3 linked regions of the Macaca mulatta genome follow. The protein of the gene in region 2 purifies or fractionates together with the protein of the main gene of each other region. This does not show direct contact. Links are inferred from orthologs where the notes say so. Each region holds a gene or a part of one and is shown on either strand. Other genes may lie near its edges. The genes, in order: WDR75, UTP4 and UTP15.

Region 1 (3,457 bases), on a different chromosome or scaffold from region 2:
TTTTTAAAGCTTTTGGTAAATCTTTCCTCAGAAGTGAATCACCTTTTTTTTTCCCCCTCAGTGGAGTGGAATGCAAAATTAAATGTTAGAGTTATGGAACCTGATCCTAATTCAGAGAATATTGCAGCAATCTCTCAGTCTTCAGTGGGTTCAGACTGTAAGTACAAACCACACTTTGTAGTAAGAGAATATCTATGACCTAAGTTTTCTTCTTAATATAATTTGAGTCAAACTTGCCTTCAAATCAGATGTTAATTGGAAGCCATTTTGCTTGAGGCACGGCCCTTCCTTGCCCTAACACTTTGTCATTGTGTAAGTCCATACTTAGTTCTAGGAGAGCTCCAATACGTTTCTTATTTTTCCACAAGCCAGTTCCTACTCAGTCTTTAAAATTCAGGAGATTTTACCACTTTGACACATTCCCAACTGCCCCTGAGAAGCTTTAATTGGTCATCCTCTGTGTTCTTGAAGCAGTTTCTACATATCTCATTTCTAGTACTTACAGACAAAATACTACTGTGGTTTCTGTCTTCTGCAGTAGGCCCTGGCCTCTGGAGCAGCAATTCTTCTTTCTCTTTTTCATCCTCATAGCCCTCATTCCTAACCTGCCTGGCCCATAGTAGGCACACAGTAGATACCTCTTGAATCAGCCTAAAACAGTCATGACTTGGGCCAGTTACTCAATGGGGTGAGTCCCAGGATTAGTGTGATCTGCCAGTCTAAGGCTAGAACTAACCTTTTCAGGCAAAATGTTATTGTCTCTTTGTTTTTTTCCTCTAGTGTTTGTATTTAAACCTAGTGAGCCAAGGCCATTGTATATTCAAAAGGGTATCTCCAGAGAGGAAGTCCAGTGGGGAGTGTTTGTTCCACGAGATGTCCCTGAATCTTTCACCTCAGAAGCTTACCAGTGGCTAAATAGATCCCAGTTTTACTTCCTAACAAAATCACAGGTAACTGCCCCCCTCAAAAAAGGCAATCGCTTTGTACATGGAATTTTAGACTAATAGCCCATGACTGTTGGTGTGAGTTTGTTCTAGGTGAAATAACTTCATTAAAGGATTATTTCCTCAAAAATTAGGTCTAATATGCCCAGTACAGCAGTATTATTAATGTAAATGTATTATCATTTTACCCCACACCTTTGAGGTTCCTTAGGTATTGCTTGCATTAACTCTGTGACAGCAAAGAAGCAGAAGACAACTAAAATACTTCAAATTGCGTAAATGTTTTTTGTTTTTTTTATTTTAGTGTTTGATTTGCAGTTTTTAAAATGGTGGCTTGAGTTTGGTCTGTCAGTTATTTTTTATTCATTTCCATTTCTTAAGTATCTCTCAGACATAATCTTGTAACTCTCATAGTGGTTATTAAATAGGTTTAAATCTTTTATTCCTTTTCTATTGTCAAATATATATATCAAAATGAAAAATTTGACCTTCCCATTTTTTAACACCCTGTAACACCTTGTTTAGATTTGCACTCTACAGTTTGTCTTTTGTATCGTTAATTGATCTCTCTTTTCAGAGTTTATTGACATTCAGTACAAAGTCTCCAGAAGAAAAACTCACACCAACAAGCAAACAGGTATGTTTTAGCCATTCATAGCAGGATGCATTGCCTACCTGAAAGGATACAATTACCTTTTAGAAGTCGACTATGAGAAAAATATTTCACTTGACCCTAAAATGGAATTAGAAGTCATATACTTATAAACTGGTATGTCTCTCTTGAAAGTTTTAGTGCTCTTTTAAAATTGTTTTAATTTATAATATCGGTAACATGCTTCTGATTTAAAGAGTCAAATATTTTTACAAGGCTCTTCAGAAAAAACTCCATCACCACTACCATTACCCTCAAAGACAATCACTCTCAAATCTTTTAGCTGAAGTTTTTTTTAACTCTGAATCTCTAAGAAATCTCTAAGAAATGTTTATATTTCTAATTATAGATTTTTCAGATTTAGGTATTATCTGTTAACTCTGATCTATTGAAGCTGAATTTTTAGCCCTTTTTTACATCAGCACTGCTTGCATATACACAACACACACTTTCCCTACTTGTCCCCCAATTTTCCCCATATGGGTAAATGTTAAATAGGTTAGTTTAGTAGTCATTGTCATAGCTGTATTAACACAATTCATAGCCAAGCCATGTAGTAGTAATAGGCAGATTGTTTTTCCTTTTGTGACCAAGTTTTTATTTTCTCTGGAGTTAATGATTGCCTTCTTTTTTCATTTGCTTAGTTTTCTATTCTCATGTAATTCAACCCAAATTCTGCTCAAGTTGTATAAGTGTTCTCTGAGTGTTTTCAGATACCTTAAGTATTTTTTCAAGTCATGAAGGATTATTTCCAAGAGCCTTCTGACTGTCTTCAGTCTGGACTGATTGCTCTGGAAACCTGCTACAGAGTAGTCATCCTAGGATCTATATTCACCATCATCTGGGGATTTATTTGACCTCTACTCTATTAGTGGCATAGTTTTTCTCTTTCTTTGGTCACTCCCTCGTTTTGGTGAAGCATTCTTTTAGTGCATTGGAGGTCAATTGAAGACCTTGCATGTTTGGAAATGTTTTTATTCTCTTTCACTTGATTATTATAGAGTTGTAGGTTGAAAATCATTCTTGCAGAACTTTGACATTATTGTCCTATTATTTTCTAATTTCCAGTATTACTAGAAGTTCAATACCATTCTTATTCTTGTTCCTTCATCTGTAACTTGGCTTGTTTATTTTCCTTTGAAACTCATTGGATTAATTCAATAATTTTTTTGTTATTTACTGTATGCCAGGGACCATTCTAGACCCTTGGGATACAGTAGTGAGAAAAGTAGTCAAGTCCCTATAAATTTGTGGTATTCACAGTCCACCAGAAGATCGAGACAGTAAACAACATGCATTAAGTAAAATATGGAATAGAGAAGGTGGTAAGAATTACGGTGGGGTGGGGGATAGATGAAAAGATGGCATGCATGGGATGCAGCTTATCATTTTAAACAGGGAAGTCTAGGTAGGCCTTTTTGAAAAGATTCTGACTTTTTATCTGAGTTACATATAGGGCCCCTTGGAGGGTTTTGAGTAGAGAACTAAGGAGGAGCTAATTACTTCTTTCCCTGTATTTTCTCTATTTTCTAGAACTCCTATTATTTAGTGCTGGACCTTCTAAAATGGTTCTCTATGATTCTTATTGTTTTACCTATTTTTTGTTTGTTTTCTGGAAGATTTCTTCATCTTTATCATCACATCTTTTTTTCTTTTTCATGGTCTGTTTCCATCACATTTTTGTTTGGTTTTGGTTTGTTTTGGTTGCTGCCGTTCATCTAGAGGTTTTCATCAGAGTCTGATGATTCTTGACTGTCTTTGGATTTAAAAGTGGGTTAAAAAGCCACTTGGAAGTTCTCTGCCTGTGCAGAACTTATCCCCTGGCTTCCACTATGTGAGCTAATTTATTGAGACAATCTCA
Region 2 (3,755 bases):
ACTAAGTCTAAAATCCTGTTTCCAAATGAGAAGCTTGCTCCCCTCCAAAAGGGGGCTTATGGAGGGTTGGTGGAATTGAATGCTTCCAAACTTTACATTAGTGAAGAGTGTGTTCAAAAACTTATGTGGATGCTATGCATACACGTGATACTTCCCATCACATTTTAGGATTCCCACGTTGGAGGGAATCAATTACTGGTATTTGTAGCAATGGGTGGAAAAGATGGCTTCAGTCGATCTGAGTTACTGCAGTTTTCTCCATCTTCTGCTACTCTGCAGCCCCATCTTAGCCTGTCCTCCTCTTAATGCTACGGACCCTTGTATTCCCCCAAACCCTTTCCTTTCCAGCCCGGCGTGGAGTCTCCCTCTATCCTCTTCCTCCCACCCACCCCCATCTTCTCCACCCACTCCCTCTCGGCCCCCTCCCACCCTTTCTGCTAGAGCTACAAACACTTCCTATTTCTAGTCCCACCCACTTTCTGGGACTTCTCAATCCGCTTCCCCCCTCTTCTCCACCCCCCTCTAAATTACAAGCTGTTTTAACCCCTTTTCCTGCCTCCCAGGGAAACTATTCTTTAAACCGCCTTCCTCCACACCACCCACCGGAGTGGTCTTCCAAACCGTTCACCCTCCTCCCAAAGATTACTCTTTAAACGTCCTTTCTCTACCACCCTCGTTCTCCAAATTGTTCCCGGTTCTCAAGTACTCCGCCCCTCCAGGACCCCATCCCACTCATCTCTACGGCTTCCCATCCACAAAAGAACCTGGAATGACTCTCCAACCACCTTCCCAATTACCTCTCCCAGAAGCCTCCCTACTCCACGATTACAAATGTTCCCTGGAACAAAACCTCACGGTCCTTCCCCCCACCCCGAACTCCCCTTTCTGCTATTCCCGCTACTTCCTAGGTTCCAGTTCTACTCCGCTCCCGCAAGCATAGCGGGCTGGGCTCCCTCCCAACCCCGGGAAGAACCCCTTCCCGCACGTACCTCGAGGTTCCGGCCCGCGCCGCCCCCTTCTCCGTCCTCCGCCCGCGCTCGGCCACCCTTTCCGCCCTTCTCACGCTCCTCCCCGCTCGCTCCCTTCCTTCCCTCCGCCTCCCGTCTCCACACCGCTCCCTTCCCCCAAACTCCCGGCCCTCCCACCCCGGGGGCCCCTCCGGGCTCGCCCCCATCTCCGCACCGCCCTCCCGCCACCCTCCCCCTTCCCAGCCACCCCTCCCCCGCCCGAGCTCCCCGCCCCTCGGCTCGCCATTCTTCTCTCCGAGCCGCGCGCCCCGCCCGACCCCGGCTCCCTAGCTTCCCGCTCCCTCGCGCCCTCGCCCCCATCCCCGGCTCGGCCCTCGCTCCCCGCGGCCTCCCATGCCCCCCGCCCGCGGCCTGACCTGCAATGGCGGCCGCCGAGCGCGGCGCCGCGCGGCCAACGGGCGACAACCGAACCTCCCGCCGCCGTCGCCGCCGCCGCGAGCACTGCCTGCGCACTTCCGACTATGCGCCAGGAGCACTTCCGGGGCAGAGCCTGAGAGCGCGCGCGCACGTGGGGCCGGGGCGGAGAGAGGCGAGCGCCGGGAAGGGGAGCGTGCGGCAGCTGGTGAGTTGGGGAAGGGGCGTGGGAAGCGGCTGCGAGAGCTGGGAGTCTTACATGGTGGGCCGGCCCAGGGTCGGCGTCCGGCTGATCTCCTTGTCCCGAGGGTCTCCTTGTCCCGAGGCTGGGTGGGGGCTACTCTGTAGACCCTGGAAGAAGGAAGGGGAGGCGAAGACCGCGCGCGCCCCAGGCGCTCTGGCCCTGCCGAACGCGCCTGCTCTTTCTGCGGGTTCCTAACCTTGAAGCTAGACGAGTGAGGGGCGAACAAGACCGGGTCTCTACTCTGGCCCAGTACGTATGTTGGCCGGCGTCGGGGGGACGGGGTAGGGTAAGTGACAGACGTCAGACCAGGCAGCCAGAGTAAGTCAAACCCTGTCGCTTCTTCCTCAAGAGGAGCTCAGTTCTGCCTGCCCCATCAGCCTTACTGTCACGACCTCAGTTTAGGTCTCTTGTTTGCAAACTTAGCAATAGAGTTGAGGAGAAATGCTTGCTAAAATGCGGATTCCTAGGCGCCCCGAGATTGGAATTCTGGAGCTATGGAGTAGGACCCTTTTTGATTTTTTGCTGAAGCCTCCTTGTTATTCAAACCATCCTGAGCTTTTGAAGATTAAGCAATTCTTGGGGGTGGGGAGCATTGTTAGTAGCTATTTGGAAATGAACTTCAGGGAGATGTTGGAGCCTGCTATCCAGAACAGTGATATTAAGGAACTGAATACTATACGTGACATACTGCAGTTAACATTTAACAATAATGACTCTCTTTTCCCCCCGCAGGAATGGGTGAATTTAAGGTCCATCGAGTACGTTTCTTTAATTATGTTCCATCAGGAATCCGCTGTGTGGCTTACAATAACCAGTCAAACAGATTGGCTGTTTCACGAACAGATGGCACTGTGGAAGTTTATAACTTGTCAGCAAACTACTTTCAGGAGAAAGTAAGTCATTTGGGAGTCTGATATGGTGTTTTGATGTTAATTTCTTCTGAAGTTCAAGAAACTTGTCTTTTATAATCAAACTAATAGAGTGACTTCCTAGCCCCTCTGAAGTTGTTTAGAACTACCGAACTTCTGAGATCTCCTGTCTAACTGATGAGAGAAGCTCAGTTTCAATCTGTGTAATGTTGATTAGAAGGGTCCTACCTAGAAATGTGTCATCTCACTGCCTGTCATTGGAAACTGAGGTTTGCTGGATATTTTGGCCACAGGAAGGGAAATTGTTGGTATATCAGTCTCAACACCATTGCAGCTTTGGTAAGCAACATTTCCTGCTGGGAGTGTCAGTACTGTTTCATTGTCAATTCAGAAAAAAATGATAACACATTTTAATATCAGAAACTTTTTGGTGACTGTTGGCAGGAAGGTGGATTCCAAAGTTCATCTGTCTGAGAGAATGTAGATCTACATGTCTACATTTGGGAGTAAAGGAGATTTAAAATTAGGTAAAATGTCCTTTGGGTGTATGCGGAGGTCTATTAGTCCTTTTTCTTCTCCCCTCCAAGGTCACTGACTAGTAATTTCGGGTGCAACATCTTAGTACATGTTGAATGACTGTTATGTACTGGGTACTGTGATGTAAATGAATAGATGGGAAAATGAGTGAATTCAGTGCCCAGCAGCCTGGTACCTGGAATTTAGGCATTCTGTAAATGTTGCTCGGTGAATGAGTGGCAAATACTGGGTACTGAGACAGATGTCAGAGGCCCTACCTTTACGGAGCTCAAAGACCAGTGGGAGAAACGTAAGTGTACAGTCTCCAGCCTGTAAAATAAATATGATAAATTGAAACACAGGCATAGAACCTTAATAGAGAATTGCCTTCCCTGAGAGGTGGGTTTAGGAAGTGTGGAAAGGGATGATTTACTGAGCTCACCCCTGAAGAACTAATCAGAATTTAAAAACTACAGGCCCACCACAAATGGGTTACATTCTGTGGTATGAAGAACATATGATGCTGTGTGCTTCTTGCATCCTGTGATTTTCTTTCTTTTTCTTTTTCTTTTTTTTTTTTTGGAGACAGAGTCTCACTCTGCCACCCAGCCTGGAGTGCAGTGGCGTGGTCTTGGCTCACTGCAAGCTCCGCCTCCCTCTCCTGCCTCAGCCTCCCAAGTTGCTGGGATTACAGGTGTGCACCATCATGCCCACCTAATTTTTTTTATTTTTATAGAGACGAGG
Region 3 (2,801 bases), on a different chromosome or scaffold from region 2:
AAAATGCTCACTCACATCAAGAACTCTGTCGAGTGCCTTAGAGATCCGAAAATGTTTCAGATCCCTGTCGTACAATTCTAGGTGTTTCTTTGCTGGCCTGTTAATCAAAATGTCATCCTGCAACGAAAAGCACATTTATAAAGAAGAAAAATCAGTATCTGTATAAAGATACACTTAATATAAACTTTTCCATAATGAAGTGGTATCTCTGAACTATGCCACAAATAATGTTCATATGCCCATAATAAACATAATAAATAAATGTTCATATGCCCGTAGATTAAATAAAAATGAATCCTGCTAATCAGAGTCAGAAAAAAAAAATGGAGTAACTTGCTACATCAACATGTTCTTACTTTGTTAGAATTTTAACTTACAACATGCAACACTGCCTTAATTCTAGGTAAAAATTCCTCATTTCAGTTCTCTTTATGTGGCAGGCAGTGTAATACAATAGAAAGAGAAACAAAACAACAATCAGAGATAATGAGATCTAGTCTCAACAACTCTGGATACCAGTAATGAAATCCTTAATCAATCACAAATTCTTTGTCTCTCAATCTTCTCAGGTGCCAAACAGGGACATGATTGGTTCTACTACTTCTTGGGATTTAGATCAAATCAGGTAGTATGTGAAAGACAATATTTTGAATGAAGTAAAGCATTATAACATTATGTTATGATGCAGACTATTACAAAAAGTAGTCCTTGTTCCCCATTACTCATCAATAATGTCCCCAATCTAGCAATCCAGAAATAATTCTGATGTAGAGAAATGCAAAATAAAGTTAAAGTGCCATGTGAACTACACTTTCCCGTAATGTGCAGGGACGAAGCTGGTTACTCTAAAAAATTTCACCCTTTAAACAAAAATGAGAAATGCACAAATACCCGTTGCTTCATGTAATTTTTTCCTTTAATAAAGGTTCGATATGCAGGCCTTCTTCTTCTGGGAAGTGATTCCTTCTTTGCTTCAGATTTCCGATGTTTAACACTCAGTATTCCATTGGTCATTCCTACAACTATTGTCTCATCTTCATGCTAATAACAATTAGAAAAATAAGTTAGTCTATTCTTAACTCATAATTTATAGTACTTTTACTTCAAAACACATTTATAATGTGTTTGCTGCTTGTCCATACATTCACCAACAGTTCCATTCAGACACACATAGTCTGCCTAACAATGATTGGTGTAAGACGTTAAAGTAAAATCATTTTTTCCTTAGGATACAAGTACATTGACAGAACTTATACTTGTAAAATATCACCGGCAAAGTTTGTATAATAATACAAAGTTAACGGCATCAAGGATTACACAGTAGCATGACTTTTACGATCTTGCCCCTCAAAAATATTTTTAATAAGCTTTTCCTCTCCCAAATCAGATTTCTGTATAATATAGTCAAATGCCTTCCTGCCCAAATGTGGCTTCTCATAAAACTTGACAGTATACATTTCAGAAAGAGCAGTAACAAAGAAAAGGAGAGATTTCATTTTGTTGTCCCCTTCCCCCTCAATCTTTTTTTCTGCTCAGAGAGCTAATCTGCCTTTCTAGTGTACTATAATACTCTTGAATTAAATGAGTTGAAGAGAGATTTACCAGCTTCCCAGGACCTGCGTTTAGTGTTAACAATGCCTAGAGCACTGTACTTAGTTTGAAGTTATGCAGTGAGTGGGACCTAAACCCAAATTCATGCTAAGTCATTAGGACAAGTTACATATTCCAGTAATTGTCTTAACTCAAATATCTAATGTGGTAAGAAAAGTTACTCAAATCCAAAAATAAAGCCCAAAATTCCATTTTAGTTTCATTTAACAGGCAGGGTTAGTGACAGACTTAAAAACAGGTAAAGGTACTTACTGCAAGGGCAAGACTCAAAATCGAAGCTGCATAATCAAAGCTGTGGACTACTTTGTAGGCAGTTGTGCTGTACACTTTCACCTTCCTAATAAAAAGAAAAGCTTTCTCAAAAATCACCTTGAAAATGAGTATAAAATGCAAATTTCTATTTTCTGAAAACTCAAAATACAAACATTAAAATCTATACAACAGTGAAGAAAAACAAAGATTAGTAATGTTAGTTACAAACTAATTCATCACTGAATCCCTTAAAAAATGAGCTGCAGGCAGGGCACGGTGGCTCACACCTGTAATCCAAGCACTTTGGGAGGCCAAGGTGGGTGAATCAACTGAGGTCAGGAGTTTGAGACCAGCCTGACCAACATAGTGAAACCCCACCTCTATTAAAAATACAAAATTAGCGAGGCATGGTGGCACATGCTTGTAATCCCAGCTACTTGGGAGGCTGAGGCTGGAGAATTGCTTGAACCTGGGACGTGGAGGTTGCAGCGAGCCGAGATTGCACCACTGCACTCCAGCCTGGGCAACAAGAGCGAAACTCTGTCTAAAAAAAAAAAAAGGGCTGTATACCAGCTCTAACTATAACATCTGTATAAAGACTTTGACTAGCCATTTATAAAAAAAATAGAAGGGCCGAGTGTGGTGGCTCAGGCCTGTAATCCCAGCACTTTGGAGGCCAAGGTGGGCAGATCCCTTGAGGCCAGGAGTTCAAGACTAGCCTGGCCAACATGGCATAACCCGATGTCTACCAAAAATAATAAAAACTAGCCAGGTGTGGTGACACATGCCTGTAATCCCACCTACTCAGGAGGCTGAGGTATGAGAATTGCTTGAACCTTGGAGGCAGAGGTTGCAGTGAGCCAAAATCATGCCACTGCCCTTCAGCCTGGGTCACAGAGTAAGACTCTGTCTCAAAAATTTTTTAAGAAAACAAAACA

What was found.
Region 1: the proteins of UTP4 (region 2) and WDR75 purify together in Homo sapiens (co-immunoprecipitation; 3 studies listed by BioGRID and IntAct, counting the BioPlex papers as one, with this or other methods). This does not show direct contact. The link is inferred for Macaca mulatta from reciprocal best matches to the Homo sapiens genes UTP4 and WDR75.
Region 3: the proteins of UTP4 (region 2) and UTP15 purify together in Homo sapiens (co-immunoprecipitation; 4 studies listed by BioGRID and IntAct, counting the BioPlex papers as one, with this or other methods). This does not show direct contact. The link is inferred for Macaca mulatta from reciprocal best matches to the Homo sapiens genes UTP4 and UTP15.

What each region holds. Positions count from the first base shown.
Region 1 is NC_133417.1:94,453,621-94,457,077, forward strand, and holds part of WDR75 (WD repeat-containing protein 75), read left to right. Parts: intron 1-61; coding exon 62-157; intron 158-780; coding exon 781-950; intron 951-1,521; coding exon 1,522-1,581; intron 1,582-3,457. UniProt on the Homo sapiens protein: Ribosome biogenesis factor. Part of the small subunit (SSU) processome, first precursor of the small eukaryotic ribosomal subunit.
Region 2 is NC_133425.1:64,745,044-64,748,798, forward strand, and holds the start of UTP4 (U3 small nucleolar RNA-associated protein 4 homolog), read left to right. Parts: upstream 1-1,549; 5' UTR 1,550-1,590; exon of another isoform or gene 1,591-2,358; 5' UTR 2,359-2,360; coding exon 2,361-2,519; exon of another isoform or gene 2,520-3,609; intron 3,610-3,755. UniProt on the Homo sapiens protein: Ribosome biogenesis factor. Involved in nucleolar processing of pre-18S ribosomal RNA. Part of the small subunit (SSU) processome, first precursor of the small eukaryotic ribosomal subunit.
Region 3 is NC_133411.1:79,962,620-79,965,420, reverse strand, and holds part of UTP15 (U3 small nucleolar RNA-associated protein 15 homolog), read right to left. Parts: intron 1,949-2,801; coding exon 1,864-1,948; intron 1,042-1,863; coding exon 892-1,041; intron 118-891; coding exon 16-117; intron 1-15. UniProt on the Homo sapiens protein: Ribosome biogenesis factor. Involved in nucleolar processing of pre-18S ribosomal RNA. Required for optimal pre-ribosomal RNA transcription by RNA polymerase I.